Linked DNA regions of Oreochromis niloticus. The protein of the gene in region 3 purifies or fractionates together with the protein of the main gene of each other region. This does not show direct contact. Links are inferred from orthologs where the notes say so. Each region holds a gene or a part of one and is shown on either strand. Other genes may lie near its edges.

Region 1 (3,752 bases), on a different chromosome or scaffold from region 3:
TCTCTCCTTGCAGTTTTATTTTGTTCCTCTAACCTAACAAGCTGTGTATGTTACCTCACAGGAACAAAACCTTTATAAAGATGGAGAATCACTCACCTGAAGTTTGTGATCTTGTGCTGTGGCAGATCCTCATAGCTCTCAAATCCATCCTCATTGGAGTCAAACAGTGAGAGGCGCTCATCTGTTAACATTTCAGGCTCATCCAGCTGAAACACAGAAATTATGGGTTTGGTTTTTTTTTTTTTATAATTTAAAACAAACAAAACTACAGTTTATGTGTGGCAAGTTTTCTCACCGCATTATCAGGATCCCCTTGAAAAAACTTCAGGTCAGAATCATCTAGGTATTGTCTACAGTCTTGACATTTGGGTGGTGGCGTCTGAACAGTAACAAAAACACAATCCAGTCAGCACGAAGCAGTAATGCCTCCAAAAATGTTTACAGTTCACCAATCCAAATCACTACCTTTACAGCAGAAACCGGCTTTGCAATGTCACTCTTGGATTCTTCTGGAGCAGCACTGCATAAAGAAAAGTGTCAGCCCATTTGCTTTTATAAGCTATATCACAATTGGTGCTCTGAAGACAAAGATACTTACTTTTCATCCGACTCCACTTTGAGACGCTTCTCCTCCCGAGACTACAAAAAACAAATTTGAAATTATGTGGAGAGTTATTTATCAGACACTGAGAAACTGCAGCTTCTATTTATGTTTTTTACATTACTTGTACATAAAATTACGATACCTCCTCAACGTCATCATCTTTCTTCGGTTCATTCTGTCCGTTGACAGCTTCTCCATTCAAGTCCTCTGACTTGCGCTTCTGACTGAAAGACATTTATTTCAAGCAGGTTAAAGTGATGGAAGAGTTTTGTTTTAGGCCCAAATACATAAATGAATTAAGTATATATTATTATACGCACACTTTAGTGAACATTGACAAGATGGTTGGCTGTTTCCCACTGTTTCTGGTAACCCTGGTACTTGCTGGAGACTCTACAAAAGGAAAAAAAAATTCTTTTAAAAATTACCTTTGCTTAAATAACTGGAGAAAGACACTGAATGTGCAGGTGATCTCCATCTTAAGAGATTTTAAACATACTTTTTGTGTCAGAATTTGCCTTGCTCCTCCGTCCACCCTTCCCCTTCGAAGCAGTTGGTGACTTGAAAGATTCCTCCTCCTCCTCCTGTACGCTCATGGTTACATCTTCATCATGCTCGTCTTTGTGCGAACCATTTGAAAAGCCATTCGTCTTTCCATTCTTCTCTGCGTCATCAACGTGGGAGCCATTTTCAAGATGAAGTTCTTTTCCAAGTAGGGCCTTCACTTTAGAGATATAGACCTCCTTTAAAAAAAAGGCACATGACATATGTCACAAGTTAGATGACAGAAAGTGAAGTACGGTTTTAGGATTAATATCAATTTGGACAACTTACAACTGACTGACCTTTGAGATCTCTGAACTTTTCATTTTTTCCTCCAGACTGGTCAGCTGATCCTGAGCATCAGCATGCAGAAAGTCCTGCACCAACTTGAGCTTCTCTTTCACATGTTCCTGGAGTGACATTTTAAAAGAGAATAAGAGTTAATGAATAATGTCAAAAGAAAAAAAAAAAATAAGGCACAACTTATGCACTCACACGCACAAGGATAAATACACAAAACTAAAAGAACACAACTGTCTTAAACTGGATTCCATTACTTAATGACACAATATGCAACCTGGAAACTATTACATATTTAACTTTGATTCCTGTTGACTTCGCACCACTGGTGTCAGTTTCCTTATGCTGTCCACCAGAAACTGCTCAAATAGAAAATGGCACAAAAAAGAAGACTAAAGCTGATCCTCGTTCATTTTATTCATAATTATTTATGATATAAGGGGAGTGCAATGTGGATTGAGCAAGGAACTTCCCTTTGAGGTGACAGTATAGAAACCAACTAAAATACTAAACAGTTAGTTCTTCCACACTAAACTTCCGTTTCAGAACTACTAGATAAGCATGTTTTGAGTCCACAACTCACCTCTTCTGCAGATCCTTCCTCATCCAACCTCTGCAAGCTGTAAACAAAGAAGAATCAAAACAGTGCTGGGGTAAGTCAGAGCGAATCGTGTGGGAGCGCTTCCTTTACTATACTGCAGCAATAAAACACTGACAGCGGGAAAGCAGAAACACAGATAACAAAACTTCCTGAGTGGCGCCAAATCTCACACGCTGTCCCATCCATTGGCAGGCTAATGATGCTAACTGGCTAATAGTGCATACCGCATCAGCCCTGTCAATGGCAAAAAGCTAATGTTAGCAACATCTGTTTGCACAGGTAAAAGGGAAACCGCCAGTAACGCTCAGGACAACCAGAGAAAGTCTAACCCACCAGGACTGCCATTTCAGCTTTAACCGCCACTGTTATGGCTTTTGAAATAAAAGCTGCAAGCTAGCTACATCAGTAGAACACTATTAGCATTCATTACAGTACCTTTTCCTGACATCGTCCGGGAGAGGCAGGGACGTCCTGGTTGGCATCGTAAACGAGCGTAAGACACGAGCGACTAAAAATGTTTTAAAACCGTTAAAACACCGTTTAAAACTCCACTATCATTAACCACCGCGCGGCTCCACGGTGACAGTCTGTCGTGTGCAGATGGATGCTATAAGCAATTCGGGCGCGCGGGCCGTCTTTTCGCGCGGAAACCCGGGTGTTGTGGACTGTACCACTCTAGCTATGTACAGGTAAAACAGTTTCGATGATGGACTTAATACATCCTTGATGTACGTATCGTTTGTGACCGGAATTACACGTTTATCTCATAAATATTATTAGTAAAAGAAAAACGGAATTTTTAGTCTATTTTATAAAGAAATACTTTATCTAGAAATGCACAATTAACTCGATCCACCCTTACTGTTTGATAGATGTCGAAGTGGACTGACCAGGCGGAAGTTGTTGTTTACTAATGAGCTATCGTAGCAAGACATCTGCATCTGATGTATTACTACTTTTTGGTAAAACAAAAACAAACAAACAATACAATTGAAAAAACATTGACTGAATGGCGTTGTAAATGTGAAGCACAATGTAGCTGTTGTATTATTGTAGGATAACAGTTGTTGATAATCCACTGTGGATCGCTTCCAGTGTGACTGTACTATCTATGCCTGAGGTCATGATTGCCTTAAGATGTTTGTCCTTTATGTAGCTATTTTGATTTGGGCGACTGCAATGTCATTATGAGCAAATAAATAAGGAGACAAGGTCCTTCAACTGTAACCAGCTACGCGCCTATTCCACCACAAGGTGGCACTGTGTCATTGGCAGAAGATTAATCTCAGGCGGTCAGTTTGTTCTTGTACGGTTACACATGGAAACCCACCCTGCTCGCTTTTACCACTAGTTTTTATTGACACGTGTTTATTCTGTTATTATATTAATTGGTCAGTGTTTAGCTGTGTGTACAATCACTGCACAGTTGAATAATGTTTAGAAATAGGCAGGGTTTTTGTTCACTTTTCCTTTAGTCGAAATTGTGAAGTACTTCAAACTTCGTGCTGTTCTACAGCAATGAGCTTACATGGGCTGTGCTTTATGTGTACACAACTTCACATACAGGTTTCTGAATCTGATGTAATATCCTGCAGTGCTCTGGAAAGACTTGGCAGACATCCCAGCAGCACAGCCTCCTGGGGCTGATTCAGCCAGCGTTCCCACCCAGGAATCCTGGATGTCTGACAGGAAACAGGCCCAAAC
Region 2 (3,752 bases), on a different chromosome or scaffold from region 3:
TTAGAATTCATGCTTTTGTTTTAAAAAATATATTTTTTCCCCCTATTGACTTAATCTTAGTTTTGTTACTGTTAACACTGATACATTTACCATTAATAAAACAGATTTTTTTTAAAGGAATTTTCTAGGTCTTTTATAATAAGGAAAAAAAATGCATCCTGCATATTGACTTTTATACATGTTGATTCTTTTATAGCTCCTGTCAGGTAAACTCTTTTTACAATATTAATAATGAGGGAAGCAATGATTGTGTCTTTAGGCTACCAGAGTTTGCAAGTAACCCCCCTCAAAAACAAACAAAAAACCCCCAAAATAAAGTTAGCATCATTTGCAGAGACGCCACTCTTTGAAAGGCTTTGACGTGTCACACTGTTTTATATTTACAATATCTGCTGAACACGTACTGATACAATCTTAATGAAATGCAAACACTGGCTGCTGTTTCTGGCTCTCAAACACTCTGACCAGTCATGTGCATTATAGTTGAAGAGTTTTTCATGGCTTAACCAAACCTTTCCAGTAGTATTTGGAGCCAACTGCTACATATACAACATGAATTAGAGGTGGAAAGTGCTTTCAATCAAGGGATTCAAGTTTGCTTCTCTGTTAGCAGATTCCAGTGGAAAGACCAGGCTCATGGCTCAAACCGTGACACTGAAGCACAATGCCGAACCCCACAATGGAAGAGGGGAAACTAGCCATAGGAGGGGGAACTCTAGCAATAATCCCCACATTAGTGGAGCAAATGATACAACTTCTCAGCAACTGTTGTTCAATGAGTTCCAGCTTTGTTCAGTGAAGTGTACATACCACTGTGATCTAAAGGAAGCAACATCAAGCCATGACATGCAGAGCAGTGAGATGTATTTAGGGAGCCCAGAGCAACCTGTCCTGCAGGCATAGTTTCCAACAACAGTGGTGATGCAGTAAACGCTACTTTCGAGCCCCTGAAAATAATTTAGGGGAGAGGTTCTTGTGCTACTCTTTCATGAAGTAAATGGCATTCATGGGTCACTGACCTTTAGTGAGGTCCACTGCGGCTTAATCATTATAATGGAGAGCAAAGATTAAGCCTAAAAATCAATTTAGAGGATTGATCTAAAATCCCAACAGGCTGCCGTTAAGGCTAAAAATGACCTCATCTAGGAGGTCATAATCGTAGTAATCACTTTTATAAATGTTTGTCTTCTCACTTGCTGAGGGCGGTTTGGGAAGCTTGTTGTGGGTGGATGTGGGATTTATAAGCCTTTCTTCACTTGACTCACCTGCGTTGTAGAACCTGTCCAGCACGGCGGTCTCCCCGAAATCCAGTTTACCAAAGTTCACTGTCTCTAGCTTGCTGCCCACAGAATCGCAAGCGTCCTTCAGACACTGCAGGGCCATGCTCTCATGATTATTCTGTTGGCTGGCCTCTCCGTTCACCACATAGGCCACTGTTACCGGCCTGCTTTTGCAAGACTTTCCGGTGGACAGCAACCCTCCGGTGTCCAAGGGGCAGCTCCCGGAGATCGGGCTAAGTCCCCCACCTCCAGTCCCCGAATCATGCCAAAAAGTCCCAGCTGCGGGGATTCCACAGGCACCACCAACACCACCACCACCACTGCTGTTGACGCTTGTATTTTCCCCGCTGAGGTTCTCTCTGCCGGGGCAAGCACCAAAGGAAGGTACCGCTAAAGAGATCCCGTCCTGGTCTTGATTCATCTTTCTTCAAGTGTCTTTTTAAAGTGGGGATTTCGATGAGTGGCTTCTCCACCAGTCCTCCATGGAGAGCCAGCGTTACGCACGGCGGTTACCCATGGAGCCTCTGCAAAGGCACGACGTGCAACTCTGCTCCTTCCACACAGGTAAACAGTCTGTTAGGAGCAGAGGTGCAGCTCCACATCATGCTGCATGACTGCCGTTGATTGCACGCTTACAAAACACGCGAATGGGGGCTGCAGGCGGACCGAAGTCACGACGATATCCGAAGAGAAAACACAGGAGGAAAAGCCACCAAATCCGCGCATTCCGTCTCAGCCGTCGCAAGAAATTCACATACTTCTCAAAGTTGAGCAACACAGCCACTGTTAGTGCAGCAACGCCCACGAGATCCACAAATGTCACACCGAGTCCAACTTAAGCTCACTTTAAATCCTCCGATCAGCACAACGGCTTCTCAGCGCTGAAAAGAGAAAGCACACCACGCACGCAGTCAGGGTGCCTTCATGTGTAGACAAACCCTGCCCAGTTTCCACTGTTATCTTCCAGGCCAGACTCACGCACTGGGCGGAGAGACGATACTCGGAGCCTGGGGTAGTGGGGCGGGGACACGATGACCATATGTGGAGTTGTGTACTTCAGAAAGGGAGGAGTCCCTTTGAAAACAACCCCCAAACAAAACCGCCCAAACGTCTCTGTGAGTCAATAACCTGTCATCTGGAGCGAAGGTAAAAATGAATAGGTGATTTATTTATCAGCTTTTTCCCGAAAATGATGAAAATGCGGGAAATTAGAGATCGCAATCCAGAACAAAAACACCCCTTTAGGACATCAATCTCCATAATGACTACATTGTTTTGTCGGAGCTGTGAGTTGGAAGTATTTCATAATCCTGCAAACTAATTGCATCGGTTTTGCCCATTAATCTTCTGACCCGCATGGATTAGGCCCCACGGTGACAAAGTGGTTGTGAAACAGGTAAAAGTCTGAGCACATGACCATGTGACTTTGTAAATCCTCTGGACAAACGCTAGAAGTGACTATTATTAGTAGTGATTGAATTAGTTTACAATAAAGCTATCCGGGTAGGTGGTCTGCTGTTCAGACGTGGAAGTGTCATCCATTTATGTTTCAAGGAGGCCCTCTTGTGGTAGGCACTTGATATTACAGTACATGCGGGTAAAGTATGAATAGCCTGCATTTTATACTTGTGCCATAAAATACTTTTGTCCTTTATTAACAAATACATAGCAGATATTTATGACCTCTAGAAAGAGAAAGTGCTTTATTTTCTCTGTAGTAAATTAGTCAACAAAGACTTATGTTATATTGACAGATGAAGTCAGCAGGAGTCTCTGTGGACTATGATGTCTGCAGAGAACATAACAACCTGTAGTGAGAGTAAGGAGTAGGTGGAAGAGAGCCTAGAGAGTTGGAGGTATGTTTTGAGGAGAAGAGGAATGAAAATCAGGAGAAGCAAGACAGATTACATGTGTGTGAATGAGAGGGAGACGTGTAGCAGTCAAGATGTGAGGTAAGGTGAAGGAGGATGATTTTGAATACCTGGGACAGGGTTGGTGTGACAAAATAGGGTGAAATGGAGGGAGATGATAACTGTGGTAACTCCAGAATGAAGTAGCTGAAAGAAGTTGAATAAGATGCTGAAATCAACGATGACCCCAAACAAAACTTGTTTGTCAGAACATGAGGTACAAATATGAACATACAGTATTTATATGTATGTGACAAAGGGTTAACAAATACACAAAACATAGCCATTGCTTTTAAATAAGGAAAGAGCATTCTTATCTCGGGGGAAATTCGTCTACACTTTATTTGAAGACATGAATTTCCTGCAGGGCTATTTCAAGGTGAGACGAGTCTTAAATCACTGAGCTTTAATGATTTTAACATTTTATCACTGGAGAAGGGGCTAATGTAGCACAATGACAATGATGTTATTAGAGGAGTGAAGGCAGACATGAAAAAGGCTCCCATTGGAAATATTCAGTGCTGTTACGAAAAGTAAAAGAAGATAAGGGGAAAGAGCCACG
Region 3 (3,752 bases):
GAGACTGTCATACAAGCCAAATTAAAAAAATAATAATAATTGAACATTATTTTTATTATAGTTTTTTCTTCTTCATTATTTTATTGTTATTTTATTATAGTTGTTGTTTTTTTATATATCAAAATGAAATATACAAAAATGGTCTTATCAACTTTCAAATACTAAACATGTTTTTTTAAATGACTGTTTTAATAAAGTTGTTTTGCACCCAGTGGAGGAGAGCTGTAGGATGCACTTCACCTCATGCTGGGATAAACTCCATGGAACGATGTTCTGCAAAACTAGACTGTACTCAGGAATTTGCATTTACTGAATCACTATGAGACAACATATAACACATTCACCACAATACAATCCCCTCTTATTTTTAAAGCTGTGTTACTGGTGACAAGCGAGCTGTGGACCTTCCTGTGTTTCCCCTACAGGTGTGGTAAAGACCACCAGCTGCAGTCTAGAAGAGTGCAGTTGATCTGCTCAATGAGGAACTAACTGATGACACCACTGAGTTTCCCACAGTATTATTTGGGAAACATGGATCATCTCACTTGTTAATTTGATTTAAAAGTCAACATTTAAATATATCATGTTTCAACAATTAGCCTAGAAACACACAGATAAGATTTTAAGTCAATGTCACCCAGACAGAAAACTGAGCATTTAGAGAAGTCTGAAGTCCGATACACATGAAATACTTCTGCATAAATGTCATTATTTTAAGTTCTGGTCATGTTTAACATGAACTTTGGAACATCATATAAACTCACCTCAGTGAACAACTTCTGATTCTCTGCCTGCAGACACTGCGTGGTCTTCTTCGCTGTAGCGAAGGGTGACTGGGTAATGTGTGTGGGCACTGGCTGCTGAGCTTTGAGCGGCGAGACATTTTTGGCTTGAAGGTCAGGGCTTGATTTGGAGGCAGAGGAGGAGGGCTGAGGACTCTCTTCTTCTTTGTCTTCCTCATCAAGCACAATGATTTTGTCTGCCATCCAGGCAGGAGCCACCGCCATCCAAAACGCCGGCTTTCTAAAATACAAACAGGCAGAATGAGACCAGAACAGAATGACACACAAGCATCAGAACTTCAGTGTTTTCAAGATCTGTACGATATTTACATTGGCACAAAGAAAAAAGTGACAGATTCTGGCCATGTGGGCACTTCTGATCATTTAAATACCAAAGCAGGGACCTGCACTGTGAACCGGGTTCAACAAACCCAGGATATTTTTATCTGGTTTCAAAGAGAACCAGTTTCAGGTCATATTCACATGAAAGATCTGAAACAAAGACAAGTCTAATGACTGCAGAGTGACTCCCTTTACAAATTATGATGTCAGAACACAAAATGAAGAGTAACACACAGTAAGGCTGAACGCACCACAGCTGCCACAGATAGAATTACTGTGTTTCTGTACGAGGAAATGTTTCAAAAGTGCTACATTAATGTGTGGAAAAGTCCAATATCAAAAAAGTCAATTTAAAGTCAGGAACGAAAGCTGAACACATGCATTTGTGCGCATTAACAAAGTTGTCACTTTCACAGCTCCACCATAAAGACACGGGAGGATCTGAAGTATAATTACAATTTTTTAGTTTGTAAAATCAACACTATAGTGTGCAGATGTGTGTGAGACAGTTTCAGCTGCACCCACGTATAAAGGAATGAAATAATTTAAACATTGCTTGCAGTGAAAAGGGAAAAAGCAGGAATAAAGCTGCGTATAAAAATCCATATTTTTTACTGATGCTCACCAGAACATCAGAATGATGGTCAGTAGGTACTGGTTTTCTATATGTATGCTACTCTTCTTTAACAAAACCTACTGTGGATCAGCATAGTTACCTGATAATAGATGAAGCACCTTTGAAAGGTTTAAAAACTGGGGTTAACCTGAAGTCCCCTCACTATGCCCCAAATCCTGCTTCATAGAAGAGGCCCCTGGTTAGGTTCATGGCATGTTATCAAAGTCTTACGTTGTTTAAATCAGCTCTGACTGAGGATCCCTCATATTGGGATTTTTTTTTTAAAAACAGTTTAATCTGAGCAAATAGCTTCCTGAAACAGGGGCATGATCACTCAAATTCCCAAGCTGGGTAATGGATTTCTGGAATGACTGCCAAAATACCTTTGTGGCCCTCAGAAGTCTCCAAAGTCATGTCAGTTGACTGCTTTCAACAATGTCCCGTTGCCTAGACAATTCATCTGAGGATGTGTGAACCTGTGATTTACATGCCACCATTTTCTATCACCAGTTAAACTTCAATAACTGGAAGGCAGACTCCTGCGTCCATATTAGAGCCTTAACACAGAAGCATCGAGCTTGTGAATTTGATGCTTCATTTAGGGCTACAGAAGCCGGCTGATCAGCGTTATCGTTTCGCTGTGTTTACTCGGAAAATAGGAAAACAAACAGGGGATAGCAGTTTCCAAACACATGAAAGTGAAACTAATCACGATGACACAGACAGCACATTACAGGTGGAAAACTTAAGACAGAAGGTTAAATAAAGCACGCCCACGCACACCGTAATAATGAGACAGTAGGATACACACCGACCTGTTCTCTACGAGCTGCTGGAGTTAACAACGAAACTAGAAAACGTTGCACCGCCGCAGGACATCACAACACTCCAGTTAGTTAGCTGACGTTAGCTCTGGAGGCTAGTTAGCATTCGGACTTTTCTAAGTAAAAAAATAACCTGCCAGAAAAAAAGTCGAGTTACGCTCTCATCGCCTCGCGAACCGGGTAAACAAACCCGAGATAACCTCTAATCTCGTTCGTTTTTATCAGACTGGATCTTCTTCATCAAAACAATGCCCCTTCACTTAGCTGTGCTATCGAATCGAGATCGAAAATGTACCCGCTAAACTCCGCTCAACATCAACGCCTCTGATTGGACGACAGATTCGTGACGATGAGTAATGCCATTTCCCATTGGACAGCTGCTGACATGTACCGTTCTACTATTATTTTTATTATTTCTTTGAATGTACTTAATTGACTTTATAAAGCTTCTTTGTTTTACATTTAGTACTTTTATATTTTGAACTTTTATCAGATTTACTGTTATTTTGTGTTTAAGTTCAATGTGAGATTCAGAATGGGGAAGAAAGATGGTTTAAGCTACTTTCAACGTGGTAGGGGGTAGACTGGTAGGGGGCCAGTCTGACTCTGAATATTTTAGAAAATGCTGATCTGCTTGGATTTTACCACACTACTTTACCAAACTACACAGCAGAATATTGGAAAAACGTTTTCTGCTCTGACAAGTCATGATTTGTGCTGTAACATTCAGATGGGAGGATCAGAATTTAGGGTCAACAGCATCAAAGTATGGATCATCCTGTCTGTCTACAGTTCGGGCTGGTGATGGGGTATAATTTTCCTGATGAACCTCGGGCCCCTTGTTACAAAGTATTGTTTAGACACCATCGGCTCCCTGAGTATTGTTGCTAACCATTTCCATCCCTTTGTTACCAGTGTAGCCATTTTTAAATGGCTGGTTCCAGCAGACTTATGCACTATGTCATAAAGCTCAAAACATTGCAAACTGGTTTCTTGTACATGAGGATAAGTTCACTGTACACGAATGGCCTCCACAGTCACCAAGTTACAATCAAATAGAGCAATTCTGGGATGTAGCAGAACGACAGAAACATGCCATGGACACTGTGTGATGCTAACATGTAAATATGGACCAGAATCTCAAAAGAATATTTGCAGCACCTTATTGAATCTATTCCATGTAGAATT

Evidence for each region.
Region 1: the proteins of daxx (region 3) and DNA (cytosine-5)-methyltransferase 1 purify together in Homo sapiens (affinity purification with western blotting; 4 studies listed by BioGRID, with this or other methods). This does not show direct contact. The link is inferred for Oreochromis niloticus from reciprocal best matches to the Homo sapiens genes DAXX and DNMT1.
Region 2: the proteins of daxx (region 3) and map3k5 purify together in Homo sapiens (affinity purification with western blotting; 7 studies listed by BioGRID and IntAct, with this or other methods). This does not show direct contact. The link is inferred for Oreochromis niloticus from reciprocal best matches to the Homo sapiens genes DAXX and MAP3K5.

The regions. Positions count from the first base shown.
Region 1 is NC_031969.2:24,060,063-24,063,814, forward strand, and holds the start of DNA (cytosine-5)-methyltransferase 1, read right to left. Parts: upstream 2,669-3,752; 5' UTR 2,531-2,668; coding exon 2,484-2,530; intron 2,068-2,483; coding exon 2,031-2,067; intron 1,558-2,030; coding exon 1,450-1,557; intron 1,348-1,449; coding exon 1,104-1,347; intron 998-1,103; coding exon 925-997; intron 829-924; coding exon 747-828; intron 640-746; coding exon 599-639; intron 521-598; coding exon 466-520; intron 380-465; coding exon 296-379; intron 207-295; coding exon 97-206; intron 1-96. UniProt on the Homo sapiens protein: Methylates CpG residues. Preferentially methylates hemimethylated DNA. Associates with DNA replication sites in S phase maintaining the methylation pattern in the newly synthesized strand, that is essential for epigenetic inheritance.
Region 2 is NC_031980.2:17,209,667-17,213,418, reverse strand, and holds the start of map3k5 (mitogen-activated protein kinase kinase kinase 5), read right to left. Parts: upstream 2,265-3,752; 5' UTR 1,702-2,264; coding exon 1,266-1,701; intron 1-1,265. UniProt on the Homo sapiens protein: Serine/threonine kinase which acts as an essential component of the MAP kinase signal transduction pathway. Plays an important role in the cascades of cellular responses evoked by changes in the environment.
Region 3 is NC_031985.2:8,772,934-8,776,685, reverse strand, and holds the start of daxx (death domain-associated protein 6), read right to left. Parts: upstream 2,889-3,752; 5' UTR 2,552-2,888; intron 2,146-2,551; exon of another isoform or gene 2,124-2,145; intron 1,024-2,123; 5' UTR 1,008-1,023; coding exon 765-1,007; intron 1-764. UniProt on the Homo sapiens protein: Transcription corepressor known to repress transcriptional potential of several sumoylated transcription factors. Down-regulates basal and activated transcription.